Linked DNA regions of Lonchura striata. The protein of the gene in region 2 interacts with the protein of the main gene of each other region in a pairwise test. Links are inferred from orthologs where the notes say so. Each region holds a gene or a part of one and is shown on either strand. Other genes may lie near its edges.

Region 1 (15,366 bases), on a different chromosome or scaffold from region 2:
CGACACTGAGGTGCCGCTCCAGGACCGGGGCCCACAGAGCCTTCCCTGGCATCCCCCGGCTCTGGGCGCGGAGATACCCCGGAGGATGAGCGTCTGAGGAAGGCAGCGGGACTTCCCAGCTCCACACCATCCATCCCTAAGCTAGGAGGGCTGGGATGGCATTTCAGGATATGGCTTCATCCCTGTATCCCAGCCGGGAGTATCTCCCACAGAAACCACCTGATGCTGGCCTGACACGCATCACAATGTCACTTTTATTTAGTTACCTCCACTTTCTGCATGTACAAAATACATGTTAAAAGGCCAGTGTTTGTAAACAGGGGAGCAGTAAGGCAAACAGGAACACCCACAGCACCTCCAGACCTGCCCAGCCCTCAGCCATGGGAGCAGCAAGGGAGCCCAGGTGTTTCCCAGGTGACATGAAACATCGTGTCCTCCTCCACTTCGGCCAAGGCACCTCATGCCTAGCACACATTCAAGCAAACCAGAGCCACAGGACCCACCAGGTACCAAACCTTTTCATCTTCCTGCAGGGTGGGCACTGGGAGGCATCTTGGCATTGGCATCTGCTGAGCATCTCTGCTGGGCTCCATGGGAGGTGGCTCTTTGCTCCCCACGTCCAGGACAACTGGCCATCTTCTTTATGCCAAAAGGTCCCCAAGCCCCAGCTCCTGCTCACAGACAGGAGCCTGGCAAAGGGGCTTGGGACACAGCCGGTGCCATACAAGTGGGGGTTTGGTGGAGCCTGGTTTTGTCAAAAGATGAGGGCACAGATGCTGGAGACCCCTTGGGAGAGGAAGGAGGGATCTGTGCCTTCACAGCATCTTTCAAACATTCCTGCTGTGCTTTGGGCTTTTCTTCCTCCTTCTCTATCTGGGTCTTCCTGTCCTAATCAGCAATTGAGAGGTCCCCATTTACACGTAGTGTTAGTAAGGAAAGACCAAACATTCCCACACAGGGAAGCACCCATGGGCTGTTGCCCCTCCTGCAGCCACTGGCTGCAGTGGGAGAGAGCCACGTTGAGAAGTGTAGGAGCACAAGCCATGCTTCTCCTTCCCACCACAACAGCCTGTGCTGCTTCCAGAAGATGCATGAGGTGCAGGGCCAGGTTTTGCACAAATCTGGCCTGAACCCTTGTCGCAGATGCATCAACAGCTACAGCTGAACTCCTCCTCCCCAAGGGTTTTAGAAGCCAAACAACATAAAAAGAAAATCAAAGAGAAACAAGAGAACAATGCTATTGAGGTTTAACGCTCCCAACCAAATCTGCAGCTGGGGGAACTGCTCAACCCAGAAAAAGCAGGAATGAAACTATCATCCAGACAGGCAACAGAGGGACAGCCCAGAGCAACACCAGCCACACAGAGTGTAAATGAAAAAGAGAACAATATAAAACAAATTAATACTGACTGCTTTATCCCAAAAGCATCTCTTAAAACCTGGCCCAGTCCCATTTCCTGGACACCTGGAAGAACGGGATTGTAAATCTGGAGAAGAGCATTGCTCTATTGTAGTGTCTTCAGTAGGTTGATGCAGCCATAGCAGCTTCTCTACTGAGTGAGCAACCCCTGGCAAGGAAAACAATGCACTGGCATGTCCCTACCTTAGGGGCATTCTGATCCTCAAACGAAAAAACCTGAACAGGCTGAAGGCAACCCTTTGTAAAAAAGTGCAGCCCAGGCAGAGGGAGATGTGACCGTAGGGGCAGGAGACCGGCAGGAAACCAGAACTCAAACCAAACATTGACACAAAATAGGACTATGGGGTGTCTCCCTGTCTGATAAACATGATTACTATTTCCCTTTATGCAGAACACTGCTTCTCTCTGCAAAGTTGGGAGAAGGACTTTTAGCTGTGGAGAGGAGCTCCACCAGAACAAGGGTACATACATGAGAGCAGCATGGCTTTGCAAACCCCAGCCACGACCCCTTAGTGATGTCTAAGGGAGTGATGTCTACTCCCAGGGGCAGAAGGATGACAGGTCCCCTTGTAGTGTTGCTCTGGTTTCACCAGGGAGCCAGGGCTGAGAGAAGCCTGACTGCCTGCAGCCTTAAGACAATGAGATACAAACCACCACAGGGCTTCTTCAGCCAAGCCCCAAGTCACAACGGTTCTTTTGGATCTTCCCAACACACCAACATGTTTTCTTCCCACTTCCCTTTGGTCCTAGGGGAAATGTCCATCCCCTCAGCAGCAGCAGTGCAGTCCAGCCTGGAGGAGTCAGGCTGTAAGATCCGCGAAGATGGCATTGGCAGTAGTCTGTCCAAAGATGAAGGCTCCAAGGGTGACCATGAACACCCCATAGCTGACCTGGGCCCACCAGCTGTGGATGCAGGAGGACAGGGAGTATTTAGAGGGGTCCTTCACCCCAATATCCTGAGGGGAATGGGGGAGAGGGGAGGCACATTTCAGTTACCTGATTGCCCTGGTTTCTTGGATCTCAGAGAGCTTGGCTTGAATCAGGCAGAGCCCTGAAAGGTAGGGAAGGCACATTAGAACCAGATGAGAACTATCCACTGAGAACTATCCACTGGGGATTGAACAGACATCCTATAAAAGAGGAAGCTGCACTCCCTGTTACAGAGCTCCATGTCCAGTCAAAATAGTTGGGCTGCTGACTGGCCCCACACCACATTTTTGTCCTCCTCTAAAAATCTCCTGGTTCCTGTGTTTCCATCCTGTCCCTCCCTCTTTGAGACACAAGGCCATGAGAGCTTTGTCAGCCCCTAAGCATCACAGGATGCCCTACCTGGGAAGACAAAGATGAAGCAGGCGGCCAAGCCCCCAATGACAGAGATGACTTTGCCAATATCAGGGATGAAAAGAGCCAGAAGGAGTGTCAGGAGGAACCAGCTGATGGTCTGAAGCAGGCGCCTCCTCCGCTCCCGAACCACGTCCTCCTCCACTGTTACCCCGGTATAGCGGAGCCAGAGACCCTCCAGGACAGCCCTGTGGGCACAGACCCAGGACAGAGGGGTTTCCTTGTGCTGCTCCTCCTTCCCACATCAGCCCCATCTCTCCCAGCGCTCACCGGCCACAGAAGTGCAGGATGGGGTAGGACGTCAGCACACAGAGGATGATGAAAGCCCGGGCGAGGGCAACAGGGATGTCATTGGAGGGGTAGGACATCAAGACGTCCTGCTCCACGCCAGCTCCAAAGGTTAGGAAGCCACAGATGCCTGTCAGGAAAGGAGCAGTCAGCAGGGGAGAAGGACAAGTCTCCTGAACATCTGTTTGAAGGACCAGACTTAGATGGATATAGCACAGAGCACATTGCAGAGGTGTCCGATGGACTCTCCTCCCTTCTCCCTCTGACCCTTGCTGACCAGAGGGTCCCTGCCCTCCTGAAGCTCACAGCCACTCCAAGGACTGTGCCACACTCACACGGTGTCCCCTCACTTACCAGTGCCTGTGTAGACGAAGAGAGCAATCACCATGGCTGCTGTCACCACTGCCCCCCAGGTCTTCACCTCCGGCTGCTTCATGCTGTTAAAGACGGGCACGCTGCTCACGTGGCACTGCCAGGACACAGAGACAGTGGGGATACATGATGGCCAGACCACAGGGCATCCTACTCGTGATATTCAGCATGTGTTGTGATATTGTGATACTCCAGGTTTGTCACTGGAGAAGAAAAGCTGGAGGTACAGGATGCCCTGTACGTTCTAGCTGGGGTAAAATGGATCCTTCTCCATTCAGAGGTGGTGAGATGTTAAAAAGGTTTCAGTTTCCTTGTAAAACTGTGCATTGAGCACATGGGCAGGGTTTTAGCCAATCAACCAGCGAATTACACAGGCAGGGTTTTAGTCTGTCACCCAAGCAACCATAGGATGGAAGGGGGAGTGCCAAGCTCATGGCCTTACCTGGAACCCAAAGCAGATGGTGGGCATGGCATTGAAGACAGCTGTCCAGCTGGAGGGGCTGGCAGGAGAGAAACCTCCGTCAGTCAGACCAGAATCCTCTGTGACCCCCATCCAGTGCCCCAGGGGAGGATGAGTTGGGAGTGCTCAGTGTCTTTGCCTTACTGCATCCCCCCACCCAGGATGATACCATTGCATGGAAGAACAGGGCCTTTCACTGAGACAGAAACAGCCAAACCTGAGCACATAAAAGTAAAAGTATCAGTAAAAAATAAGGATCTAGTTGGGCAGTGCAAAAAACTGGTCTAACCTTTGCTCTGCCATAAAATTCCTGCATTGGATCCAAAAATATACACTGTGAGGAAGGGAATAAGCCACAGTGGTTGTGCTGGCTAAAGAAATAACCAAAATCATCCAAATATAGACACAGCCCTTGATGTGAGCATAAGCACTGCACAGGGAATCCAGGGCCTGGATATGTCAGAGGTAAAAGACAATCAGTGCTATCAAAACCTGTGATGGAGCCATGGGGGACGTTTAAGAGGTCCTTTTCCTCCTCTTCATCATCTGCTCCTCTGAAACAGGCAGAGGTGCAGCCACTTGGGAGCTTCTGGCAGCAACATGCATAGTGCACAGGACCAGCGATGGGACTGATGAAAGATTCACCCCTAGCCTTTGCAGCCCTTGCTCCCACAGCCCTGCCTGGCTCTGCAGTGCTATGATGGCACCGACACCATCATGTCTCTTGCTCTCACCTGGTGGGGATCTCCACAGGCACCAGCTCCTTGTCAGGCCAGATGTACTTGATGATAATGACTGCGGTGACATACCATGTGCCAATCACACTGAGGGAGCTTTGAAAGATGATAGGAGGCTGTGAGTGCTCTGCCTCCCCACTTCATGGAGGGTATCCTCCCACCCTCTCCATTCCCATCTTCTGCCCTGCACAGCCCAGGCTACCCCCCTCCTACCTATCAGACCCATTTTTGCTTTTCCTTCCCATGAGAAAATACCAGGAAATGTCACCCACTGTTCCCCAAGCAGATGCCAACACAATTTGGTTGCATTTGGGGGTTATCCCATCCTTCTGTGAGCGGCAAACCTGCTAGACTTGGGTGTTTGGCTGGAGAAAGAGGCAAATGTTGAAGCAGTGACACTCCTTGGTGCCCCTGCTGGTCCAGCCCCAGCAGCCAGGTCACACCAAGATTTCTGGTGGAGCAGAGCTGGCCTGCAAATCACCCAGCCTAGGGACACTGAGTGGCTATCCTTTCTGCTGGATTGCCAACTCAAAAGATAGGAGACAATGTAGTTGAAAGCAGCATTCCATGCTTCCTCCAGCATGCAGAAGGGAGGGACACAAGCTCTGAAGTATGACACTATGGCTGCACGGTGCTCAGCTACTCCTCTGCTTCCCAGATGGGGAAACTGAGGCGTGGGAAAGCAGAAGGTGAGTGGACAGATGTGGCACTAGAACCACAGCATTTCCAGTCCCTGTCCTCTACAACCATGCTTAAGTGGGTGCTAGCTGGCCCACCCCAACTCCCAGCCCAGAGGGCTCTTTCCGCCTACCTGGCATATTTTTGGAAGCCAATCTCTTTGGGGATGGAGAGGGGCAGGATGAGCAGGAAAGCGGTGATGCTGATGGTAAACTTGCGGTCTGTGTACCAGTGGCTCCCAACTTCCTCAGGCTCCTTCACCAGAGCAGCAATGACTGTGGGGACAACCAAGATGGTCAGGTTGGCCCTTCCAGCTGAAGGGACAAAAACTGGTTATTATTTGCTCCACGGAACGCTCTTACTCTTGTCCTCCTGGTCTCCGATGATGATGAGGAAGGCGATGCAGGTGCCAAAGGTGTAGACAGCGATGGCCACCTCGCACAGCACACCAGGCACCTTCCCACAGACGGCCCACACAACCTCCTGGTAGGTGCGCTCATTGCTGGCCTGTGAGCAGTATGCCAGGATGACCAAGCCTCCAATGATGAAGATCAGCATGCACTGGGATGGGAGAGAGACGGGGGAACACTGAGCCAACAATATGGCTACCCCAGGCAGCCACCCTTCAATACATTGAGAATCTGGTGCACCTCACCCAAACGAGCTTCTTCCTAGGAGTCTGGTCCTCCCCAAGCCCTTACGGGGGCACCACATGTCCCTCCCATGCACTCTCCCAGGATGGGATGGGGGACTGTCCTTCCCCACTCTCTCACCATCTGTAGGGTGATGCCTGCAGCCACGCCACCAGCCATGCTGAAGGCGGCAGGGAAGTTGAGCAGCCCAGCGCCAAGGGCAGCGTTGACCACAATGAAGACCGCTCCCAGAGCTGATGTGGCCCCCAAACTGTTTCCTTGGATCTCTGAAGTTTTGAGCACTGTCTCCACACTAGGGCTCTGCAGGAGCCTGGCCCGTTCACCGGCATCGTCACTCCACTCCCAATCCTTGTAGTCACTGTTGATGCTGCCAGTGCCCTGAGCCATTGTCCCTTCGCAGGTGGCACACACCACCATCCACGTCCCACTAGTGGTCCAGCACCAGGCTCAGCCGGGCACCTTGAGGAGGGTCCTCAGCCAGCGCTGGCTCCATCAGGCAGGAAGGGCAGCAAACAAACAGGCTGGAATGCAGCAAACCAGGAATCAGGCACTTCCTTACTCCTACAAGGGGATGAAGAATGACACTGTTAAATGTTAGTTAAATTATATTAACAAGGGACAATCTCGGCATTAGGTGGGGGCACAGGGGAACTGAGTTCCTGGGTCTTAGCTCAGGGGATCACAGCACACACACACGCCAGCAGAGATAAAGCAGAACTTACCTCTTGTCCCTCAAATCCAGGGAGAGGACACAACTGCTGTCGGATAGGGGACTGAGCCCTGGCCTTGGGGCTGAGGAGCTGCAACCTCACAGCAGGACTTGCCTTTTTGTGGGCATGAGACCCAGTGTCATAGCTCATTTCCTGATTTCCAACCCTAATTTCTGCAAGCTCTGCAAGAGCAGCTGTGCACGTGCTTCTGAGTAAAGGGCAAGGCTGGGCTCAACAGGAATGTCTTGTGTGCAGCAGAAATACTGTGTCAACAGGAAAAGCAGGACTGGCCCCTTCCAGGGCACCCCTATGTTGACAACCAGTAGGAGATGATGTCTCAGAAGCTTTTGGATTTGAAGATCTGATGTTTCCAGCATCACAGCCCTTGGGGGTTGGAAAGCCCAAATCTCATCCCAGTGTCTCCAAGCAGGAGGAGACTGACCCTCACAACCTGGCAGGATTTTGTAGGAATCTACATGACCATGGGAAATCTCTTTTCAAGAAAATCTGGCTTTTATTCCTAGAGGACATCTACAGAGACTCTACCTGCCTAGCTCACTCCTTGCTTCTGGGCTATTTAAACTCTGTGCTTGTACTATGAATCTTCTGTAAAGATTTCTGGGGAAAGGGAGGAAGGGCCACCCTGTGCCCCGTGTGTAGGACCGTGGAGGGACGGACCGGTGGGTCTGCGTGGGCTGAAGTTCCCACCCGGGTGAGGATGCTGCAGGGGTCGATGCTTCTCCCATGGCCTGGGGGAGGATGCTGAAGGGTGTCCTTTCCGTCCAGGCAGAGCAGCCATACTCTGACAACCAGAAATCCCGAGAGCAGGCGCTTCACCGAGGGTGACTCGACAGACCCGCGGCCCCGCTCGGGCCCCGGCGGCGCCCCCGGCCCGGAGGAGCAAGGCCCGGAGCCGGTGACGGTCAGCCCGCGTTCGCACGGGATGCACAGACTCCTGTGCCAGCCGGTCGCTGGGCTCCCCGCATGTGTCCCCCCGGTCCGTCCGTATCCCGGCCCCACTCACCAGGCGGGGAGCGCCCTCTGCTCCGCTCCCTTCGGCCCCGGCCCCAGCCCCGGCTGAGCTCGGCGGCAGCGGCGGCGCGGCGGCGGCTCCGCCCTGCCCGCTGCACGCCGGGGGTTGTAGTCCAGCCCCGGAGGCGGGGGAACATCAGCGAAGGGGAAACATCCCCCTTCGGGTAACCCTTCCCAGGGGCTGAGCCTCCGGGGACACGCGGCAAGGAGAGGGCGACAGACGGGGCTGTGCTCCAGGGTGCTTTTATTGTACAGAGAACGAGCAGGAGAACGCCCCACGCGGGTAACAGGAGGCGGCAGCTCGAGAGCCACGCAGAACCGGGGACCACAGCACAGGAACCCACAGCCCCGTGGGGCAGCACCTACGGCGTGTGCGGCATGGAAAGCGGTTTATTGCACAAAGGACAGCAAGCAGCGGCTGTGGGCATCGGGCCAGTAAACATGCGGTGTGGGAGCGGAAACCTTCTGTCAGGGAGCAGCGGGAGGATCCAGCCTTCCAGCAAGTGTGGCAACAAGGTGCACTAGACCCGGACAGGTGCACCAGACCGGACCTGTCCCAGCTCCAGCAGGCACACAGTTGCCCTGGGCAGGAATGGGAAATGAGGACTGCCCTGCTAAATACCCTGGTACAGCTGCAGAAGGAAGAAGTGCCAGTGGATGAAGACAGCTCACAGACTTAAGACGTAATGCCTCCAGCTCCGCCTAGGGAGGCTCCACTCCATCATGGGCCAGTGGCCAAAGATGGGCCCATGTCCCAAGGCAGACAGTTTTTGGGAATTTGTCCTCTTGCCAGCAACACCTATATTCAACAACATAGGCCTAAATTTCAGCTCCATGGCACCTGGACAATCTCAGTTCACACACACTGTGCTCCCAGGGCTCATTGGTGGGAACTGCCTCTCTACATGGAATTCTCAGGAGTTCACTGGTCACATAAGATCCCCTGTGCTAGAATGGTCCTGAGAGGGATTGTTTGGTGCATGGAAGGGACAGGATCCAGTTGCACAATGACAGGATGAATTCCCCAGTTCAACATAGCCATGCACCAGTTTATTTGGATTAAAAATCGGAGTCCAGTAGGTCAAGGACCTCAGGAACACTTGGTTTAGGACAGAATGGTTTTTGAGTCATCAGCTCTCAGATTTCTCTCAAGATCACTTTTTTTGGTGTCACCAGAAATGTGGTTGTACAGACCAGAGAGGGATGCCCCACACCTCCACGTGAGTGGAATACTGCAGGGCCAAGCCTCTTGGCTTACGGCTTTGAGACACTCAACAAAGAGTGCAGGGAGGGTATAGGGCTGGACTGCTGGGCTTAGGACGGGAATGGGGCAAGGCAGAGACCACCAGAGAGCAGTTTTCAGAGGAAATTCTTATTGGGGATGGGGAGGGGGTGAGAGAAATTGTTTCACCTCCAGGTATGAAAGTGAGACAGGTTTAAAAGAGGGACACCTTTTGGGAGGTCTGCCCCACGCACTGATGCCACTGTGAATTACACCTGAAAGGAGAGTCCCAGATGGAAAGAGTGAAGCCAACAACAGAGCGGAGTTTGGTAGTGAGAAGTCCTCAGAGCTGGTTGTCAGGACAGCTTTGGTGCTGCCCAGCCCCAGGCTGGGATGATGGAGGAAGATGGAGCCTGCTGGCAGCAGGGACTGGCTGAGGAGTTTGGAGGACCACACCTCCAACTCAGCCCACCCAGCTCCCTGCCTGCTGCTGCTTGGGCTAGCAGCCAAAAGCCTCACAAAGCCTTCTCATGGAGAAATGTGTGCGGAGAAGCCTTTGGTGCCTACACTGGTAGGATGGCATTGTAAGCATTTGTTTCCTCCAGCATAGATAGGTGCTGGGGTTGATGAAGAAAGGATGGACAGCAGGGAAGAATGGCTGTGATGAGCAGGAGCCAGCAATTATGTCCTTGCTCCACAACACAGGGTGGATTTGACTAGGCTTCTACAACTCATCTACAAGATACATTCAGCAGCGGCTTCAAGTGCTGTGGTTGAAGTATTCTGCTTGTTTCTTTTCCCTCCTCATCTTCGACTGGTGAGGAAGGGAAAGCCACCAGCTCCAGGGCACCCCTTTGTCTTTACTTTGTGACTTGATGGATGGCATGAGCCAGGTAACCCACGTTGCCTGACGTAACTCCCGCCACAGAGATGCGTCCGTCCTTTGTCATGTAGACTGAGAACTCCTTGATCAGCCGCTCCACCTGGGGTGAAAGAGCAAAGTTCAAACTGCAGACCAACCTTTCCTGTGTCAGCAAAGTGCAAATTTACCCAGCTTGCTGAAACTCAAAGCAAACTGGCTGCCAGCAGACAGGGCATCCCACTACCTGCAGAGTACCCTGTGCACCAAGAGAGATGCTGCTCAGCTCTCAGGCTAAGCAGCAACACTGCAGATGTTCAGCTGGAAGAGTCACCTCACTTGACCTTTAAGATCACTTCACAGCAGCACCAAGTGATTGCTTGCTTTGATAGACATGACAGCTACATTTACTTTCAACCTCCCCAAGTACAGCAGGGAACAGAGCAAGACTGGGGTCCCCATGATGTGCCACTGCTTAGGGCTTGGAGGATGTTCTTTCTGAGGAAGAAGTGCTTTCAAGGGTTCCTTTTGGCATCTGTAGTCAAAAACCTACTGACAAGGACTGCAAATGACACTTTGAGACCACTGGAATTGTGTTTACCTGTTCAGGCTTCAGCCCTGTGAAGCAGAACATGCCGATCTGGTCAGTGATGTGCTGCCAGTTGTGGGAGGATCCCTCCTTCTTGAGGTTCGACACCAGCTGAGTCCGCATGCTGATGATCCGGTCAGCCATGCCCTTCACCTCTGTGAGCCTGAGGAGACAACCCAGGAACCATTGAGAGCAGGGCTGGAACACACCAATGCTGTTCTCCCCACCCCAGCTATTGAAAATCAACCTCTCCACCTAGAGGGGCTCCATAGGGAGATGCAGATGAGCATGAAGAAGGAGCTCCAGCTGGAAAAGCTGCTTCTTTCTCCTGATACTCAAAGGTGATCTCTTTTTATTTATTCCATTGCTGTTGGACACTACTATTAGAATGTAGACATTTCTCACGTCTGAAAGGCACAGGTCAGTAGGATGCCTCATGGCAGCACTATTCAAACCCAGATAAAATAGTATCTACAGGTAAACCAAGCGTGCAGGGCTAACATTGGCAAAACAGGCCCTGCTCCAAAGCAACACAGCTAGGAAATGTCTCCACCGGGCCCTGGATCAGGCTCAAGTGTCAGGCTGCCAAAAGAACACAGCCCCCAGTGAGGCCACAGCACACTGCCAACCTTTGTTCTGCCAGGCCAGCTGCTGGGAAGGACCTGGCACCAAGGGGCTGGGAAAACAGCACAGGCTGACACCAGGAATCAGGCTTAGGGAATGAGGGTTACATTCTTGGGTCTCATTCCCAGGGGGCTTCTGCTTCCACTTCCCCCTCAAGAGACACACTACATGGCTATATACCACGTCAGACATTTAGGCTTCTTAGATAGGCAGCTCCTGCAGCCCTCAATCCTATGGGAGCTTTATCCCCTCCTTTACAGAGTTTTCTTCCTTGCTAACACAAGGAAAACCTGTTTGTGCCAGGTTAAACTGACACCAGCTGATGCCAGGACATAATCAAGGATTTATCCAGAGTAAACATGGTTCTGACTGTTGCTGAAGCTAAGAGCTGCCTGTGACAGCAGCAGACAGTAAGCGCAGCACAAGGCTGAACAAAGAGATCTCACTGTCATGAACATTACAGATTTCTTCTTACCACTCCTTCCGTAGGTCAGGGGTGTTCAGGATCATAGATGCAATGCGTGCTCCGTTCACAGGTGGGTTGGAGTACATGGGGCGGATGAGGATCTTCAGCTGTGATTCGACCCTCTTGGCTTCATCTGCATCACTGCAGATCACTGTGAAGGCACCCGCACGCTCTCCTAAGAGAATCACAGAATATCTTGAGTTGGAAGGATCATTGAGTCCAGTTTTTGGCCCTGCACAGAACAACCCCATGAATCCCACAATTCCTGTGTCTGACAGCATTGCCCAAACACTCCTTAAGCTCTGTCAGGCTTATGCTATGCCACTTCCCTGAGAAGCCTGTTCCAATATCCAATCACCCTTTAGGTTAAGAACCTTTCCCGAATATCCAGCCTAAATCCTCCCTGACACAGTTCTATGTCATTCCCTTGGGTCCTGCCACTGGTCGCAGAGTGCAGATGCTGCCCCTTGAGAGGAAGCTGATGCCTGTGATGAGCTCTGCCCTCAGTCTTTTCTTCCCCAGGCTGAGCAAGCTAAGTGTCCTCAGCTGCTCCGTTTATGGCTTTTCTTTTAGACCATTCACCATCTCTGTAGTCTCTTTCGGACACTCTCTGAAAACTTTCTATCTGTCTTATGCTGTTGCACCCAACACCACACAGCTTTAGTGGATCCCTGTTCTCTAGAAGCGTCTCCACCAGCTCCTATTGGGTTATCCCTGCAGGATGAACACAGGCAGCAGGAAAACACTGGCTGCTAAACCTTGAAGGTGTTGGGATCCCAGCAGCATCCTGGTTTAAACTATTTCCTCACCACGTGCCCTACTCACCGTACAGCCCCATGTTCTTAGCGAAGGACTGTGACAGGACGATGTTGATGCCCTGCTCGATGAAATACCGCACAGCCCAGGCGTCCCGGTTGATGTCCCCACTGGCAAAGCCCTGGTAGGCCATGTCAAAGTACACGAGGAGGTTTCGTTTCTGCCAGCAAAGATAGAAGAGAGTGTCACAGAAGCTGAGCACTCCTCCAAGGTGCAGGGCTAGCAGGCTGAGAAAAGCCATGCAGACAGCAGTCTGTCCACCTGCAGCGATTCTCCTCCAGAAAGAGCACTGTTCCCCTTCATTCACCACAGGGAAAGCACTCCAAAACCTGCAGCTACCCAGCACACATCAAAACAGCAGCTGAAGATCCTCCGGAGCTGAAAATCCCTCCACCCATGGGATGTGCAAGTCTGGCCCAGGAAGCAGAAGTAAATTCGACAGCAATAAAATAGTCTACTTCAATGTCTTCTGTATCATCAGTTTCCAGGAAAATCACCTGGGAACTCTAGTCAGCTAGGCAGAGACCCCAGATACACTGCCCCTTAGAGCTACCTTTCTGTAGGCCACAGAGATCACTTTGATATCTACCAATTCTCAGGACCCTATTAAGGCCTGGTATCTCCAAGCCAAATTTCACCGGCTACAGGCTTGATGGAGCAGCAGGAAGGAGGAGAAGGTAGAACCTGTCCCAATCTATTTGCAGCTGAAGCTTGCAATGAGACACCAAGCATGTGAGAGATCTTCCAGCATTTTTAATACACCAGCACTGGGTACTCCGTTCTAGCAATCACAGCTCATGCTTTCAACCCTGCTGCTCTCCTTTCAGGTCTCCCTACTCCAGCTTCCTGGAGAGGTGCCAGCAGAAAGCCCAATGGCCAGCTAGAAGCTTCCTGGGTACATTTGACTGGCTCCTGTCAGGAACATGACACCCATCCTGGCTTCAGGGACGGGAATAATCTTTAGAGAAGACCAGGTGCCACCCATGAAAGGCCAGAGATGAGGTTTTCCCAGGAATGGCACAGTACCCCTGGGACATTGCTTACCTTCACCATAGCTGCCAACTCCTTCCATTGCTCCTGCCGGGGATCCACCCCAGTGGGGTTGTGAGCACAAGCATGTAAGAGGATGATGCTCTTCTCTGGAATTTTCTAAGGAAGATGTTATAGAGAATGAATAATTGATGATATCTGACCACTCTCCTCAGCAAATGAGACAGCTTAGATGAGCTCTGTGAGGCTTCTAGCCTTGATTTAATGCTTTCAGGCATCATAGAATGATAGAGTATTCTGAGCTGGAATGGACCCATAGGGAGTCCAACTCCTTGGCCCTGAACAGGACAATCATGAGAACCACACTATGTGCCTGAATTGTTCAAACACTCCTTGAAGCCTGGCAGACTTCCCTCGGGACCCCGTTTTGAGTGCCCAACCACCCTCTGGGTAAAAAAATCTTTTTCTAATATCCAGACTAAACCTCCCCGACACAGCTTCATGCCTCATCATCACATTTAGGGTAAAGTAATATCACCACTCATTTCCCCACATGACCTCCCTTCTTCCAGGCACAGAAGGCAACTCACAGAAATGTCATCCATGGCTCCAGAGAAGTCAAGGCTGCATGTCTTGGGGTCATAGTAACGATAAGCCTGAAGTTGCATGCCAGCATCACGGAAAATGGGAGTGTGATTACCCCAGGACGGTTTGGGTAGATACACATCACGACTGGATTTGAAGAACCGTTGCTGGTCAATAGAAAGACAGAGTGTTCAAACAAGTTGTATAAATTCAAGCAGTTAGAAAACCATAAAAAATCAGCTCTGGTCAAAATACATCCTTTCCTTCCACTGCTGGCCAGGCACTCACCAAAAAGTTGGCTCCAATTCGCAGAGATCCAGTCCCAGAAATACCCTGCACGGTAACATACTGCAAGAAAAGAAAAAATACATCTGAGTCTGAGTAGACGTGTTGTATTACAGGGAGAGCACAGTCACCATGTCATGACTGGCAGCAGCACACAAAACAGGGACAAGGGGCTGGAGGAACCACAGGGGTCAGCAGCTCCAGCTCCATAGCAGGGAGTTGGGACCCCTCCCCTTCTTGGACAGCACTGTTTCACCCCAGCCTTCAGAGGAAGCAGTGATCCTTGGGGCCAGCCAGCCCATGACTCAGAAGCATCAATACCCCACCAGTTCTTCCACATTTGCTGAGCCCTCAATACCCACCACGTGTCCTTGCCCCCTGTGCCCTGGGCTCTCCTTACCCGGCCGCTCTTGAAAGCCTCACTGTTCTCCCCCAGAGCCAGTTCTGCAGATGCTCGGGTGAAATCCGCTAGTCCCCCGATGGGCAAGTACTCCTTATCCATCTTCTTGGATGCTATCATGGCCTCCGCCTGGAAGGGAGAACACAAGCTCAGCAAGGAAGGCATCACCGTGCAGAGAGTGATGGACAGCTGAAGGTCACTTCTTTGCACATTTGCTTGCTCGAAAGGGGCAAAGGTTGGTTTACAGGAGTTTCCCTGCAGGGCTCATTCCTGGGCAGCAAGGGGCAGCAGTAAACATTTCAGATAAAACCCCAAAGCCACCAGAGCCCTCAGTGGGTGACAGCATTGGTACAGTGGAACCACAGAAACCTGGCATCAGAAGAGAGCACCACTTCCAGCCCATTACAAGTCAATGCTGCTGCACAAGGACACACACTTCTCTGCTCAAGCAGGAATTGTCCTGCAAGAAAGCAAGACTTGAGTGTTACTGAGAGGCAGATATCATCTCTCTCTGTGGAAGACATCCCCAAACCACGTAGGGTAGGAAACCTTTTGCAGGGTGTTGTCATGCTGGAAGTGGCACAGACCCTGGCAGCATTCACATACCACTAGGAAACTGTCCCTGTGACACCATCCATGTTCCCTGGTTGTGACCCAGCTGCACAGAGAGGGAGGGCAAGGGATGGCTTTAAAACCTACACTGATGAGACACATGGAAAAGGCACTCTCCCTGCACCCTCCCTGTTAATGCAGCCAATCAATGCATATCTCCACTGCCAGCTATTTAACAGCCTATTTCTACCCCTACAGCCCTAAAAGACCCCATAATCCCTTCAAGG
Region 2 (16,168 bases):
CGGGGCGCGCGCGGTGTCCCCCACCCCCGGCGGCGGCGGCGAGCGGGACGCGTGCGCGGCGATGTCGCGGTACGGCGTGGAGGAGCGCGCCGGGCCCCACAGCCCCGAGTACCGGCTCTTCTTCAGTGAGTGCTGCGGCCCCGCCACCCCCCGCGCCCCGCCTGCCCCTCCGCTGCCCGCCAGCGCTCGCCTGAGCCCGCTCCGGTGCGAGCTGCCGGGCGGCTGACTGGGCTCCCTCCCCTTGCCTTGCAGAGGATGCCGCCGGGCGCTACATCTCCCCCTTCCACGATATCCCCATCTACGCGGACGCCGGGAAGGTGAGAGGAGGTCTTGAGACACGCAGGGGATCGGGGAGTCCTGAAACATCCCGGGGATCAAGGGATCTGGGAACACACTGGAGACCAGAGGTCCTGAAACATCCCAGAGACCAGGGCATCGGGGAACAACCCAGGAACCAGGGGATTTGGGAACACACGGGGCATCAGGGAATCCCGAAACGTCCAAGGAACCAGGGGGTCCTGCAGCCTAAGGCACCCAGGGGAGGCTCACCCTACAAGGAATGGGTTTCTTGCTGTCCTGGCCTCGGGTGAAGCAGCCCAGGAGAAGAGAATGGACGATCTCATTCTCATTTTTTGCATCAGAGATGCGACTGGTTGGCTTGAGCTTACCCATGCAGGCATTTTGGGTTAGCTAAGCAGAAAACTGCTTTTTTTGTAATATCTATCCCCATTCCTATGCGTGCTGCATGATATTTCAGGCTTGGGGTTTGGCTGCAGTATGGCCTAAAGTATAATACAACAAAGAAAAGAGAGTGAAGATGAACAGGTTAAATTCCTGCTGTAACATCTCCTGGGACCTCTTGCCTGGCAGAACCTGCCCCTTGCAGTGCTGCAGGGCTTTCACATCCTTCTTGCAGACAGTGGTTAGTCAAATTAGGCTGTTGTGAACAAAAAATGCCCCAGCTTCAGGAAATCAAAATGGTTGTGTTTCAGTTTTCATTTAATGTTTTTTCAGTGGTACCTCGGGCTCTGACTGTTTCCTTTACTGTTGTAGCTTGTTTCTTTCTCTGACTATAAAGCTGTGCAGCTCGGGAAATGTAGTGGAGCAACTACTCCTTGTTAGAGAGAGATGAAATTCAGAGGTGGAGAGTGGTTCTGGTAAAGGAAGAAAGAATATGCAGAGCTGAGAGATGGATCTCTAAAAAGCAGCTGATTGAGCTGCTGAGGTGAAGGTGATGGAGCTACCTGAGGTGGCTTTTGCCTTCACGGAGGAGAAAAGATGGATTGTGGTCATCAAGGACTCAGCAGTGGCTGAGTAGGGAAGCAGTTCCCAGTGCAGGTGCCTGGCAGGAAACCCAGCCAAGGAAAATGCAGATAGTGCCATGCTTTGCAGGCACCTGCAGAACAGGGGAGGAAGAAGCAGGGGAGTGTGTACAGAGGTGAGGGGGAGTTCCTTGAACTGGTAGTGCTTAACAGGGGAAACTGGTGTGCCCTCAGGCATGCAGTGCTGCTGCCAGCACCTCTGTGCCAAGTCATTCAGAGAAAAAAGTCCCAGTAGCTGAAGGTCACAGTCCCCGAAGTTACACAATAGTGCTGGTCCCACGGGGCTCTCTCTGTGGCTGGAGTGCCTCAGCACTGAGGTTTTACTCATCACTTAGCAGGTGGGCTGCCAGCTACATTACAGGGCCCAGCTCAGAGCAAAAGGTTGTCCCACTCTGTCTGGCCTCCTTGATCCTTATCCTCAGACTCCTAAGACACTGAGAGGATTTCAGATTGTGTTTTTTTCAGTCTCAGGCTGGGCTGTGTTGACCTTACCTGGACCTGTATCATTGCAAAGGGATGCCCTTGAGCTCCTCTCTGTGTGTCTTTGGCCAAGCTGGACCATGGGGAAGCTTCAGTCCTTACAAAGATGCAGCCCCAAGTCATCTTTCCCTGCCTGCAAAGCCAGAAGCTCCCAGCTCAGCCTGTTCCAGTTGCCTCACTCCTTCCCTCGAGTTAGGAATAAAAATAGTTCTGTACCTTTCTACATGCAAAATGCAAATGAGCAGTGACCCCCCTGCAATCAAGGGATTGTAATAAAGCTCTGCTAGGGAAGGGTGTGGGCAAAGTCAGTGATGTAACAGCACTTGTTGCACAGTATCAAGCCAATTATGGGGCAATACAGGTTCGAGGGACTTTGCCATGCTAATACTGCTTAAGGTGGGGATTAGAAACCTGGCCCAGGCCAGGGAGCAAGGTTTGACTTTTTGTTACTAGGCCATAATCTCTTCAAACAGCAGATGTTAAGGTACAGGTGTGGAAAAGCTTGTTTTCTTGGAGAGGAGGCTGACATTGAACTCTCAGGCCAGCTGGATCAACAGGAGATGTTTTCGAGTGTCACCTCTAAATGAGATACAGTGAGATGTGGTTCTGCATTTCTCCCCCACATTTTTATCCTCACACCATGCCACTAGCAATGTCTGCTTTTACAGGAGTGTCAGCCTGGAGAAAGGGCATCCTTCCCTACGTTATTACTAGAATATTTGGGAGTGATGGTCTCACTCATTCAGGGCAGTACATAGATACCTACACTATTTAATAGGTGGTTTCTCATGTTGGTCTTGTCTTTTCTGAATGGCCAGAGTGGCTCTTTCTGGAGCATTAAACACTTTGTATTTAATAAATAAGGCCTAAACCCCATTTTGTTGTGTCCAGGGTAGTTTGTATGCAGCTGTTTGCCATTGATTTAACCTGTTCCTGTAGCCTAGGAATGTGATAGGGATGATTGTAGGTGGCAACTGCTGGAGAACATGTGGGAACTTCAAATCTGGCCTTTGGGGTGTTTTGTGGGATTCAGCTTGGAGTGATGACATGCAACTGACTGGGCTACAGGACTTTTATCAGCTGTCTCAAAATTAGCTCTGAAAAAAGAAACCAAAACAGCAGAACAAACATGGTTTCAGGTGAGCTGGCTGTTTTTTCTGCTCACTTATATGTGTTCCCTAGTTTAAAGCATGGCCCCAAGGTTCCTTCCCACTCACTGCTGTTTTGCTTTCTTCAGAATGTGTTCAACATGGTCGTGGAGGTACCTCGATGGACAAATGCTAAAATGGAGGTAACTACATTACAGTTCCAGCCTTAATGCTTGGCTTTGTCAAGCCCTCCTCAATTCCACCTCTGGAATTGCAGTGGTTTCTACCTGCCAGTTGGTGGTTAGAAGTTAGTGGTTTCTAACTTCTCCTGTGAGAACCTGCTTGATATGGAGGAAATAAACCTGGAAATAAACCTCCTCTGATGTGGAGGCTGAGATTGCAGATGTTGGAATGCTGTGGTGTTCTCACATGGCTTCTGATAAAAGCAATATTTTATGGCTCTTGGCTCCATGTGATTCCAAGGCTTGTAAGTCTGCTGGAAACCAAGGGATGGCAATGCAACAGGAGGTGTCCAGTATCTGCTGCTGGTATCAGCATCATCTCCTGGTCTTTTGGCTTGTCAGTTCCATTAAAAATAAAATCACTTTTTTATTCATAAAGGGTAAAGCAGAGGGATTTATGTAACTTTTCTTTCAGATTTCCACAAAGGAACCCTTAAACCCAATTAAGCAGGATGTGAAGAAAGGGAAACTGCGCTTTGTAGCAAACGTGTTTCCCCACAAGGGCTACATCTGGAATTATGGTGCCATCCCACAGGTACTGTGGTTTATCCCAGTGGATCATCCCTCCTGTTGGGGAGGAGGGAGGGTGCTTGCAATTGCCACTGTATTAATGAGCAAAAAGGTCAGCAGAGAGTCTGGTCTGGAGCGCAGTGAGACTTCAAACAGGCCTGTTTGCCTCTGATGTTCTCTAAGGCTGGGGTTTCCTCCAAAGAAATAAGCTGTCAGTGACAGATCACAGGCAAGCACTCTGAATTCGGTGTTTGTGCTCTTGACAGTAGCACATGTCAAGTGTTTTCCCCACGTGGCTTAACAAGTTGAGTTGTTTCCTGCTTGAATGAATTCTGCTGCTTGTTTCTTTGTGCACAGTTGTGTCTTTTGAAGCCTTTGCTCTGTTATGTGTTTGTGATCAAAGATATTTGTGCATCAAGCGCTTAACATTTCCTGGTAGAGAAATGTGATAGGGTTTGTGAACAGCCCCACAGCACCACCCAGGTGTCAGAACATCTTCCTCACCATTCTGGATGCATCACAAGGTCCTGACTACACTAGTCCCCCCAGAGAAGTTTGGGAGGAACTTTCTTTTTTATATCTCAACACCCTTAGGAGTACATGTTCCTTATGTGGGAATGTGCTTTTCACTCCTGATCAGGAGCGTGTTTTAAACAGCCCTTGTTCTTGGAGTCAATTAACTGGCCTCTGGAGTCATGTCCTTCAATGTGCATTCACCACTGTGGGTGAGATGCACTGGAGAGCACAGTGGGACTCCACATTCTTATCACTTCTCCAGGGTTTTTAATTGTTTAATTAAAGGGAAACAATACACCCTGTCTGTCTTCCTTCTCTGCTGGATTGCTATCTCGAGTTCAGGAAACTTCTGCTAAGGAATGAATAGGGAGAGGAACAGGCAGGAAGCCAAATCAACAATTGCCCTTTATAGATGTGAACTTCACCTTTACACAGCTGTGGGACAGGGAGGAAGTCTGGAAAGTTGTTGAAAGGGGCTTTGTGGGTAGGAAGGGGCTGCTTAGCTTTTGGAAGATGAGACCTTTTAACTTGAATTCAAACTCCCCACGCCCAAGGGAAACAGTAGCCCAAATACCTGACCTGGCAGCAGGTGTGAAGTGGGCCATCCTCTGTTTATTCCAGGCAACTGCATGCCCGAAATAAACCTGCTTTTTACTACCTCTTTAAACCTGCGAGTTCTTATTCTTATGTGTAGTTGATTTTGGTGTTGGTTTGGGGTTTTTTTTCAGACTTGGGAAGACCCAGGTCACAAGGATGAAAATACTGGTTGCTGTGGAGATAACGATCCAATTGATGTCTGCGAAATTGGAAGCAAGGTAGCGCATCCTAAATGACTCCTGAAACGTGTAATTAATGTCTCCAAAGCCAATTATTCAGGGATTATTATTCATTTCCTACCCCTCCTCCCCTTAACAATGTGATGTTTCCCTCTGCTGCCTCTGGAGACTGTTGCTGCGATGAGCCAGGGCTGATGAGCTGCTGACAGCCAGAGCTAATTTCATGGTACCTGGCTGCTTGCTGAGCCCCTGCACAGCCTCCTGTCGTGCACTCCTGGGTGCACTAGGATGGACAACAAGGCCTTTGTCCTTTTGCAGGTCTGCTCTCGGGGAGAAGTCATCAAAGTGAAGGTGCTGGGCACTCTGGCTCTGATTGATGAGGGAGAGACAGACTGGAAGGTCATTGCTATCAACACTGAAGACCCCGAAGCAGCCAGCTACAATGGTGAGTTACAGGGGGGGGGAGCAGCATCAGTGCTTCCCTTCCTCCCCTGAAAACCTGCAGGAGGTGGGGACAGGGCTTGCTCCTTCTGTGCTCTGCTATCAGTCAGATGTGGTGCTGGAAGGACAATCCTAGAGCAAAACATTTCATTGCAGTTTGGCACATGTGGCCAACCCTCGGCACAGCCTGGCATTCCAAACACAGTGGAAGAAAAGGGATTGTCCCCCCAGCCTCTAATCCAAACTGTTTAAATGTGTCCCAGCTCCTGGGGACACTTGGGATACACACCCTGGGGATGAAACACTAACTTCCCTGAGGACATACTCACTGAGGCTTCAGGGAACCTTTCTGAAATGTTGCTAAGGCTGCTTGGGGAGGGGCTGAAAGAGGCACAGCCCAGAACAACTCAGCAGAGCCACATAAATTCTGTAATTCACTACATTCTGTTACTGTTTCTGGCTAACAAACCTCATGTCCCCTTCCAGACATCGAGGATGTCAGAAGGATGAAGCCTGGATACTTAGAAGCTACTGTGGACTGGTTCAGAAGATACAAAGTACCGGATGGAAAGCCAGAAAACCAGTTTGCTTTTAATGGAGAATTTAAAGGCAAGGTAGGATCACCTTCCTTTGCACAGTGGCACCTGGCCCAAAACCTGAGCTCAGGCTGCGTGAGAACACGAGCAAGTTGCTGAGATAATGGATTTTTATGGGGGTGCTGATAGTTGATTTCAGTTCATCCTGCTGGTTTTTTCCATCCTAGTGAATACAGGAATACCAGGAAAAAAAAAAAAAAGCCTGGGGTTATCCCCATGGTGTCATTGAATATTTTTTTCATGTGGGATCATTTGAGGGCTGGGAGCCTTCGTGTCAGAACCAGGTGGAAAACACCAGGTTTATTTCCTCCAGCTGTGGAGCAAAGGCAGCTTGACATCACCCTTTGCCTCCCTTACCTGTGGACTTTGTTCCACTGCAACCTGGTGCAAGTTAAACTTAACTCAGGAGTTAAAACACTTCTTGCTTCAGGCATGAAGTGTTCCCTCACACCCTGTGAGTAAGGCTCTGCCTTGGCAGCACTCTGCCTCTTCTCTGGGTTGGATCAGATAAGTTACTGCTCCTGAGCGGGTGAAATCCTGTTTTGGTGTCCTCACTTCTGCCCTTCCTGGAGTGCCATGAGGGGTTTAGTGAGGTGACTCAACTCCTAGGGCTCCAGAGATGGTGCAGAGGAGGGGAGTTCTTCCAAAAGCCCTCTCTGGGAAAGAAAATGGAAGTCGTGAAGGACTTGTCCCCTTTGGCTGTAGCACAGCACTAGGCTGGTCAGGCTGGAACACCTCGTTGCCCCTTAGGATGGGTGAAACCCATCAAGGAAACTGGAAAATCAGGATACAGAACTTCACACATGCTCTGCAGTGTTTTATTTGGCTTGGTTTGGTATCAAACCAGGACGTTTAGTGCCAGTGTTCACACCAAGAAAGGACTGCATGTGTTTCCTTCTCCAGCTGACAGGTTAATGCTTGAGCATATATTGCTCATTTTTAAGGGAAGAGGTTGATATGCCTGGAAACAAATTCATTTTTAAGTAGTTGCAAAGCCTGATCAGCTGCATGTCTCTTCCTGCTGGTCTGAATTATTTGCCTGGAGTGGAAGAGAGCTCCTGGACAGGCCCGGATCAACAAGCTGCTGGAGACAAACCGAGTGGGAGGAGCAGCAGGGTGAAGGTGCTTTTATAGTGGAGCACTAGCCCGAGACTGTGCTCAGTTTCTTTTGGCCCCAAGCTTGCTCTGTGACCTTGGCAGATCCTCCCATCTTGGAAGCAAAACAACAATTCTCCTACACAATCCTGGTTTTTTCAGCTGTTGTGTCCTGGGAGTTTCTGCTCTTCCTGAATGGCACTGGAGCAGAAGAGGTTTCTTCCAGCCCCTTCCAGAGCATCTTGTTAGTGATAGTCTGGAGAAGGTGATCTGGTGCTTCCAAGTAACATGATGTTTGTTCTCATTTCCAATGTCAGGATTTTGCCCTGGATGTCATCAAAGGCACCCACGAACACTGGAAAGCTTTAATAACAAAGAAAACTGACGGAGGGGAGATCAACTGGTAGGCTAATGCTTGTGGGAATGTGCACCTTCCCCTTCCCTAAACTAAAACCCCTGGAACATCACTTCCTGAGGGGTGCCATGCTTTCTGTTAGCTGCTGGCTGTCTCCCCAGGCCTTCCTCTTCCACTTGGCAGCTGCAGTCCTTAATATTCCATTATTTAATGCTCCTGGGGGGAGGCTAGGCTTGCACATTCTCACAAGTGCCCAATGTCTTCCAGCACCAACCTGACGGTGTCCGACAGCCCTTTCTGCTGTAGTCAAGACTGTGCAAAAGCTACTGTGGATGCAGTAAGTACCAGTTTGAGTGGCCAAATCCTGGTGTTATTGTTGGGAAAAACGGTGCAGTTTGTGTGGTGAACTGTCCTCTCTGTGTGAATGGCACATGGCATGCTCACAGTGTTTTGGGTGGCTGAACACCTGCTTCTGGTTAAACAGGGTGGATGTGGAGCAAACCAGACATTCCTCCCTGCCCTTAGTCATCCAAGAGATGGAATCCCAAACGGAGTTTGCGTGGAGGGCTAAACTTCTGAGCTGTAGCTTGGTTGTCAGCTGTTCTGAGAGGGTTTTAATATTTGGGCTTCCAAGAGCTTCACAGTACAGGTCTCCCTCTGAGAAAAGAGAATCTAATTCCCCAGGGATTTTGCAGCTTCAGAATGAAGAGCTTGATATTCCAGGTGTAGTTCTCCTGTCCAGCCTCAGGAATTAATTGTGTCTCCCTAGACTTGCAGAGTACTGCTGTTGGCAGCCTGAAAGGGCTTAGAGGGGAGGGGACAGGAAAATTGAAGTGCACATCTTGTCTCTCTTCCATAACTGGAAACCTGGGTCTCATGTAGCCTTGGAGAGACCTTTAAAACCATTGTGTTCTTTTCTAAAGTGCTGGTATCCCAATTAGGGGTCTCATCAAGGTTTTTGAAAGCCCTCATGGAGGATGTGTCACCAGACAGGGATTTGCACTGTCTTTGCTTGTTGAATACCAGAGAAAGCTCTTCAGAGGAGTTCTCAGAGAGCCCTTCGTGCCTCTATTCCCCCATAATTTTTAAACCAACGTTGTAGATTTAAAAAAAAATCCAGGACTGCCTGCAGCTGTGTAGAGTCTGGAGTGGGAACTGCTTGTGCTGGGGGTCAGATGGCCCTGGAGCCTGCACTTGGAGGAGAGCCCCTCGGGCATCTCCGGAATGGGGAGGCTACAGGAATGACCGGATGCTGCACATGAGCTCAGATGTCCCCCCCACAGCTGACCAGCTGCCACAGGGGCTTAAATGGTGCTCAGGAAAGACTTGTGCAGCCCTAAATGATGTGTGGAGAGTGAAGGACACCTCTGGTCTCTGATAACACCCTTCTTGTTTCAGGCACCACCGTGTAAAGCTGCCAGCCCCATCCCACCCGAAGGTGAGCCTCAAAACCCACCCTGACATCCCAGTACACAGCAGGGGCTTCCTCAGAGGAATTGTGCATAGGAAAATGAGGGTGTGAGGTAAACCTGGATGTTGCTGTAGCCAGGGCAAGGCCCGAAGGCAAACAGGGTGGTGTTGGGAGCAGAAGGTGGAGCCAGGCTGACACTTCCAATCTCTTCATGGGGAATAAATCTGTGGAGAAATGTGTGTCTCCCATGTGGGCATGGGAGTTGGAGGCTTTGCCTCCCTGAGTCAGCTGAGCCAGAGGGAAGCCTGGCTTGCTGTCCTTGCCTGCACCAAGTCATGAATGCTCCTAATGGCAGCCTGAGCAAGGCTGGCTGCTTTGGGAAAACAAATCCACATAAACAGGGTTGTGCCAGAACCTGTTTGCTGTGCTGAGGAGCTGTTGCCAGGAGCAGAGGAAGCCCCTGAGCTGGAGGTGACACACACACACTGCCACGTAACTACTTAATAACTGGGTGGCTCACAGGGGACTAATCCCCCCTCCTTTTTTCTGCCCCACACAGTTGACAAATGGTTCTACTACCAGAAAAACTGAGTCCCGAGGATGGTGGTGAGACAGCTGTGTCCTTCCCACCGAGCTGCTGCCACACGCAGGAATAGACCAGAAAAATAGCTTCAGTGTCAGCAAGACCTTGCCTGTAACTTTGCTGATTAGAATTCTGTACCTAGCAGTGACATGTCTGCTGAGGCCTGGTGGAGGCTGGAAGAAATAATTTATAAAACCCGAACACCCTGCTTGTGACTGTCATGTGGTGTGCTCTAAGTCATGACAGGAGATCACTCACCTGGGATGTGTATGGATGCTAGAAATAAAAAACTACTGAAATCCAGTGCTGTGGGGCTCCCTCTCCTTTTCGTCTCTGGAGCTGAGGGGTCACAAAATCGCAGGATCCCTCGGGGATCATGGAGTGCGGCCTGTGGCCGGTTCCCCACCCGGGTACCGAGTGTCCCTCAGACACTCCGGGGATGGTCACGCCTCCCTGGGCCCCCTCCAAGTCTCGCCGCCCTTTCCGTGGAGGAGTTCCTCCTCGTGTCCCGCCCGGAGCAGCTGCACAGCACGTCCTGCCCGCTGCCCTTTGTGGCGAGGCGGGGTTAAGGGGGTAGCTGAGGGCCGCGTCCCCGCGGGGCCGAGGCCGGTCTCGAACCCGGGACCCCGCGGGGCGCGGGCGGCTCTCGAACCCGCGCCCTCCCCGGTGCCGCGCGGGGCCAGCGGGGCCGGAAGCGGGCGGGGCGCGCGCTGACGCGTTTCCGGCGGGGCGCTGGCGGCGGCCGCGGACGGGACTCGGCGGCGGCGGCCCGGGGGCAGCCGGGGGTGAGCGGCGGGGGCGGCGGCCGGGCCCGGCGGGGCGCTCAGCGGGGCGGCGGGCGCCTGGCAGGCCCGGGAGAGGGGCGGCGGCGGCGCGGGGGGTGACACGCAGGCAGAGCGGGGGCGGGGCGGGGGCCAGGCCTCGCCGCCCGCCCTTGAGGCCGGCCCCGCTCACCCCGGTGGCCCCTCACCCCCCGTCTCCTCTCACCCCCGTTCCCCTTCGCCCCCGCTCCCGCCGACCCCTCCCGTTGCCGGGACCTCCGACCCCCCCGTCCCGGAGGCCGTGACCGCGGCTCCCTTTGAGCACCGACACTTCGTAACGCGGGGTTTGGGATTTGTCCCCCGCAGGCATTTTATTTCCAGAGATGTCTTTCATCTTCGAATGGCTCTACAACGGCTTCAGCAGCGTCTTGCAGTTCCTAGGTAATGCCTCAGCAGCCCCCTCCGGGTGGGTTCGGCTTCTCCGGTTCCCAGTATCCCATAAAAGTCGGGGTTAAGGTGGTGTGCAGCAGCTCTGGCCAGTGCAAAGTCTGGTGAGGAATCTCTGTATCAATAAAAGGGCTTTTACACTGGTGCAGAGAAACTTTGGGAGTATTTGGAGGCGTTGGGCTCCCACTCAGGTGTTTCTCTTGCCCTTTGCATGCCTGAGAGCAGCTAGGCTGTCCAGCCCCAGGCAGAGGTGCTGCCTTGACAGGGAGGGAGCCCCATCCTCCTCCTCCTCCTCCTAGAGTCCTGGATTCCAGTGGAACTCCTTGCTGGAGGATAGGGTGCCCATTCTCATGATCCTCTCTTGAAAGGAGGATTAGAGGGACAGGGTGAGAAGTCCTGTTGGAAACTTTTGGGAGCTTTCCTGTGGCAGACACAACAAAAATCAGTTTATGCCAAGAAAACAACACTCTGTTCCCTGCTTTGCACTTTTTCCTGGACAACTCGCTGCTCTCTTTTATGAGTTTGTTCAATTTTAACATTTTCTGAGGAGGCAGATTGGTCCATAACACTCTGCTGCACGCTGTCCTCTGCTGCTAGTACAGATCTGAGGAAAGAATGGAATTCTCAGGGGCACACGAGCTTAGGAAATGTCCATTGCTGTGAGCATGCCTTGGAAGGAGCCTGTTAGAGCTCTGTGTGTTTTCCCTGCTGCCCCGTGTCCGTGCTGCAAGTGTGCACAGGTGGCAGCAGAGCTCTGGGAAAGGACTTCCCCAAAAAAGCAGCGTGGCGTTCTGGCTCCGGACGAGCCCGCTGGAGCTTTCCTCTTGCTTTGTTCCCTCTCCTCGCAGGTTTGTACAAGAAGTCTGGAAAGCTGGTTTTCCTGGGGCTGGATAACGCAGGGAAAACCACTCTGCTGCACATGCTCAAAGATGACAGGCTGGGTCAGCACGTCCCCACGCTACATCCCAGTAAGTCTCCCTGGGAAAAGCCTCCCGGCCTGGCTTTTCCTCTGGAATTGTGGGGACATGGTGTAGGAAGACACCTTGGTGGCAGCTCTGCCTGGGGGATTTGAGGGTCTTAAAACTTGAGCTGAGGTTGCAGCTGCACTGTGCTTACCCAGGCTGAAGTGGGTCTGTGTTTTCCTCTCTAGAAATGCCCAGGAACTGGTATGGCTCAATTAGTAGAAAGGGAAGATTTTCCTAATGGAAAGTCTAATAAGGGATAATAATTGCAGGTTAAAAAGCTGTGGGAAGCAGGAGAAATTAGTTTCTGCCGCTAGTGATTTTGGGAAATGGCTGCATTTCAGCCACTGAATTCCACAAGAAGTTTAGGGAATTCCTTATTGGAAGAGCATGTGTGATGCCAGCATGAATGCCCACCTTCCTTGTTTTCCTGAATCCCACCTGTGCTTTCCATTTCAGCATCAGAGGAGCTGACAATTGCTGGAATGACCTTTACGACTTTTGATCTGGGTGGACATGAACAAGGTGAGGAAAAAATGACCAAAAATTGATCCAGACGAGTGTCAGCAATTAGCAGTGCCTAATTATTTGTTGCCTGGATTTATTTATGGAACAATACGTGGAAGCAACCTCCTGGCTGTAGGATTGCTTGGAAGGAAATGCTGCCAGTTCATGCCCTGCTGCCTGGAGTATTTTTAGCTGTGGAAGACTGCAATATAATTTAGTTTGAATAATTGATGGATTTTTAGTTATGTACTTTCTAGAAGTTTTAAACACAGGTTTTTTGCCCTTTTATACACAAAACTACTGGAAGGAAGACAGCCTGGCTAAAAAGGCAGCCATGGTTGCTGAGGCTTGGTGGATTTTTCCCTGTGTGGAGATTTCACAGGGCCATGTTTGTCCCTTGTGTTTTCCAGCTCGCCGGGTCTGGAAAAACTACCTGCCTGCCATCAATGGGATTGTCTTCCTGGTGGACTGTGCAGATCACTCACGGCTTATGGAATCCAAAGTTGAGCTTAATGTAAATACACTTCTCTTGTTTCCCTTCTCCAAGACCTGATCAGCTAAATTATGAATAACAGCCATCTCTCCCAGAGCTGGAGGAGCCTGGATGTCCTTGCTCTGGGTTGGCCACAGGCACTTGAGTTCAGGGGAGGCTCAGCTGGGACAGCAGCAGGAGCTTTTCCTTTCTCCATGGAAAGGCTGCTCAGGCCTTGGCAGGGCTGCCCAGGGAGCTTTGGAGTGCCCATCCCTGGAGGTGTCCCAGGAAGGGCTGGAGGTGGCACTCAGTGCTCTGGGCTGGGGACAAGGTGGGCACTGGGCACAGCTGGGACTCTGGGCTGGCAGGGATTTGCCAGCCTCAGTGATTCTGTGAGTCTTCCACAGGAGTATGGAAGCCCCAGAAAGGAGCCCTTGTTGGTCACAGAGCTCAAACAAAACCGTTTTCTTCAGGCAACGACTCCTTTTTCCACCTGTCTGCTCAGCTCTTGTTGGCTCTTGCATGCAGGCGTTAATGACAGACGAGACAATATGCAACGTGCCAATCCTTATCTTGGGAAACAAAATCGACAGACCAGAGGCCATCAGTGAGGAGAAACTGCGGGAGATCTTTGGGCTCTACGGACAGACCACAGGAAAGGTAGGGAAGCATCCAAATCTTGGATTGGCAATGGGGAGAGCTTGCCTGCTTCCTTGCAGGTTGAGCCCTGATTGAGTTGTGACTGGGAATTTGTCCACTAATTGGTCAAAGTCAATCAATGATAATAATGATGATGTGCCTGAAGGGAGCCAAGGAGAGAGACTGTTTAAAAGCCATGGAGCGGTGGGACAAGAGGGACTGGCTTCCCACTGCCAAAGGCAGCTTCGAATGGGAAATTGGGAAGAGATTCTTCCTGTGAGGGTGGGGAGACCCTGGCACAGGCTGCCCAGAGGAGCTGTGGCTGCCCCATCCCTGTTCAAGGCCAGGTTGGACGGGGCTTGGAGCAGCCTGGGACAGTGGGACCGAGCAATGGGGTGGAATGAGGTGATCTTTAAGGTCCCTTGTAACCCAAACTTCTGATGCTGCCCTTGGGCAAGTTTTGAGGCTGCCGGGATTGTCCAAAATGCAGTGCACACACAAAGGGGCCTGCAAAAGGAGCTCCCCTGGATGGCTGTGGCTCGCTGGGTGCTTCCCTGAGGGCACCAGGGGTGCAGATGTGACTCCTCTTTGGATTTCCCCAGGGAAATGTGCCACTGAAGGACCTGAATGCGCGCCCCATGGAGGTGTTCATGTGCAGTGTGCTCAAGAGGCAAGGCTACGGTGAGGGCTTCCGCTGGCTATCGCAGTACATTGACTGATACTGGCACGGACACGAGAGTTTTACTCCTCTGGACTGATCCTGTTCACTTCAGCTTCCTATGGACTTTTCTATTAGAACGTGGAAGGCTTTCCAAGCGCATACTGGCATTGTCCAAGAGACTCCTGGTTTTCCGGCTGCCCTTATGGCACAGTGGTGACACCACTCTTTTCCACGCGGCGGGGAGGCAGCGCTGTTCCTGAGTTGTCCCTGCCACTTGGGTGACAGCGGGGCTGCTCCAGGCTGGGAAGGCAAAACTCTGCACGCTGCGATGTAACAGCTGAAAAAGAGAGCACGTCTCACCACTGTGGTTAATTGACTTCAAAAACAAACAAACAGAAAAGGAAAAAGTGATTCTATTTTTTAAAGAAAGTGTTAATGTAAATGACGTCCCTTCTAACTTTTTAGTTTAACGTTCATCTTGTTTAGTCCAGAGTCTGGTTTAGGGTTTTTTAAAAATATATTTAACGGTATTTAGGTATTTCACAAATTACTGAACCAAGGTATCACGATATTAGAAGTCCTCAATAAACATAGCATTTGGGCTTAACTGAGCTGTAGGGTGGCTGTGCTGTGTCACGCTGACCGACGACAGCGCGGTGCTGTTGGGACTGAGGTGTGCAATCCCAGCTTCTTTAGTTTACAGGGAATTTTTTTTTTTCTTTTTACTAGTTGGGGAGGAGCACCTGGTGCAGGTGCTGAGGCTGGTGTGTAGTGGGAAGGGACTGCCTGGTTCCCCCTCAGGCCAGACCCTCCACTGAGGATCCTCTGGCCACGCCATCACAGTACGAACCACGGAGCAGTTTTGGTTGTTGTAGCATGGAAGTGTTTGACATTTGCATATCATGAGGTGATTAATGTAGACTAAACTGGTTTCTTTTATACTCTCAACGGACTTTTTTTTTTTTTTTTTGTCTGAAGTTTCATTGCTGTCTGGCACTCATTTTCAGTTCAATAAAGACATGTCTTTCTCCACCGAAGGGGCAATGAGCCTCAGTCTGGCTTGGTGTTTGCTGGGCCTTGGGGCCATCAGAACACCAGCCACAGAATTCCATAAGCGTTTGGACAACGCTGTCAGGCACAGGGTGGGATTCTAGAGGCTGTCCTGTGCAGGGCTAGGAGCTGGACTAAATCCTTGTCACTTCCAACTCAGGATATTCATCCAATGGTTCCATGGTCCTGTGACCTGCACAGTGCAGCCAGTGAGGGAAACAGGCAGGATGGAAGAGCCGCTTGTCTCCGGGCTGGCATCCAGGGAGAGCTCATGGCTTGCAGGGCTTTGCTCTTGGTAGAACAAACCCACACCGAGCCCAGACAGCCGGGAAGGGGCTGGGGGGGAAACGGGGAGGGGGGGTCTGACTCCCGGTATTCGGGGGCGATTTTAGCTGTTCCAGAAGGATTTTCCCAGTCCCGGTACCTCTGTTGGAAATAAAAGTTTCGTACTCGTTGGTGCTGCGGGTGAGGTGGGAAGCGAGCGTGGCCGTGGGGTGTCCGGGCCGAGGGTCCCGGGAACGGGGCGCGTGTGCCGGTGTCCCGAAGTGCAGCGCTGGGTCGTGGTGGGCGAGGGGCGGCTGCGGGCCGAGGGTCCCGGTTCTCCCGGGGCCGAGGGGCGGCTCCAAAGCAGGCATTCCTGATGTGCCGGGGCAGCGGGGCCGGGCCGGGGCAGCGGGGCCGGGGCCGGGGCAGCGGGGCCGGGGCAGCGGGGCCGGGCCGGGGCAGCGGGGCCGGGGCCGGGGCAGCGGGGCCGGTCCGGGGCAGCGGGGCCGGGCCGGGGCAGCGGGGCCGGGGCAGCGGGGCCGGGGCCGGGGCAGCGGGGCCGGGCCGGGGCAGCGGGGCCGGGCCGGGGGCCGCGCACCCCCGGTGAGGGCCCCGCGGGGGCGCGCCCGTCACGTGCGCGCTCCGCCCCGGCCAATGGGGAGGGCGCGGCGCGGGGTGGCAGCCAATGGGCGCGCGGGGCGGGCGCGGGGGCGCGGCGGGGATGGCGGCGATGGCGGCGCCGCCGTGCTGCGCGGTGCGGGTGCGGGGCGCGGGCGGCGGCGATGGCGGCTGCAGCGGGCTGGTGCTGAGCCGCCGCCCCGCGCTGGTGCTGTGCCACGCCGCCGTCTTCGCCCCGTTCCTGCGCGCCGGCCCCCTCGCCTGGGCGCGCCCCGCCGCGCTGCTGCCCGACGCGCTCCGGCCGTGCCCGCGCCTCAGCGTCGTGCTGGGGGCCGCGGCCGGCGGGCTGCGGGAGCTCGATGCGCGGCTGCT

The links.
Region 1: the proteins of SAR1A (region 2) and SLC38A7 interact in binary tests that used the Homo sapiens proteins (3 or more experiments, as listed by UniProt). The link is inferred for Lonchura striata from reciprocal best matches to the Homo sapiens genes SAR1A and SLC38A7.

What each region holds. Positions count from the first base shown.
Region 1 is NC_134615.1:16,310,518-16,325,883, reverse strand, and holds SLC38A7 (sodium-coupled neutral amino acid transporter 7), read right to left. Parts: upstream 7,772-15,366; 5' UTR 7,684-7,771; intron 6,511-7,683; 5' UTR 6,367-6,510; coding exon 6,070-6,366; intron 5,858-6,069; coding exon 5,659-5,857; intron 5,572-5,658; coding exon 5,430-5,571; intron 4,715-5,429; coding exon 4,616-4,714; intron 3,922-4,615; coding exon 3,864-3,921; intron 3,519-3,863; coding exon 3,404-3,518; intron 3,180-3,403; coding exon 3,032-3,179; intron 2,950-3,031; coding exon 2,750-2,949; intron 2,472-2,749; coding exon 2,417-2,471; intron 2,324-2,416; coding exon 2,221-2,323; 3' UTR 227-2,220; downstream 1-226. Other genes in the region: GOT2 (aspartate aminotransferase, mitochondrial), read right to left, coding at 9,774-9,896, 10,374-10,524, 11,461-11,626, 12,277-12,427, 13,312-13,416, 13,848-14,009, 14,131-14,190, 14,528-14,656. UniProt on the Homo sapiens protein: Symporter that selectively cotransports sodium ions and amino acids, such as L-glutamine and L-asparagine from the lysosome into the cytoplasm and may participates in mTORC1 activation. The transport activity requires an acidic lysosomal lumen.
Region 2 is NC_134609.1:36,610,716-36,626,883, forward strand, and holds SAR1A (small COPII coat GTPase SAR1A), read left to right. Parts: upstream 1-10,122; 5' UTR 10,123-10,200; intron 10,201-10,542; 5' UTR 10,543-10,559; coding exon 10,560-10,617; intron 10,618-11,471; coding exon 11,472-11,591; intron 11,592-12,044; coding exon 12,045-12,110; intron 12,111-12,502; coding exon 12,503-12,606; intron 12,607-13,037; coding exon of another isoform or gene 13,038-13,092; coding exon 13,093-13,224; intron 13,225-13,805; coding exon 13,806-13,922; 3' UTR 13,923-14,812; downstream 14,813-16,168. Other genes in the region: PPA1 (inorganic pyrophosphatase), read left to right, coding at 62-125, 253-317, 3,040-3,093, 3,548-3,667, 4,887-4,973, 5,253-5,379, 5,862-5,989, 7,384-7,469 and 3 more; TYSND1 (peroxisomal leader peptide-processing protease), read left to right, coding at 15,909-16,168. UniProt on the Homo sapiens protein: Small GTPase that cycles between an active GTP-bound and an inactive GDP-bound state and mainly functions in vesicle-mediated endoplasmic reticulum (ER) to Golgi transport.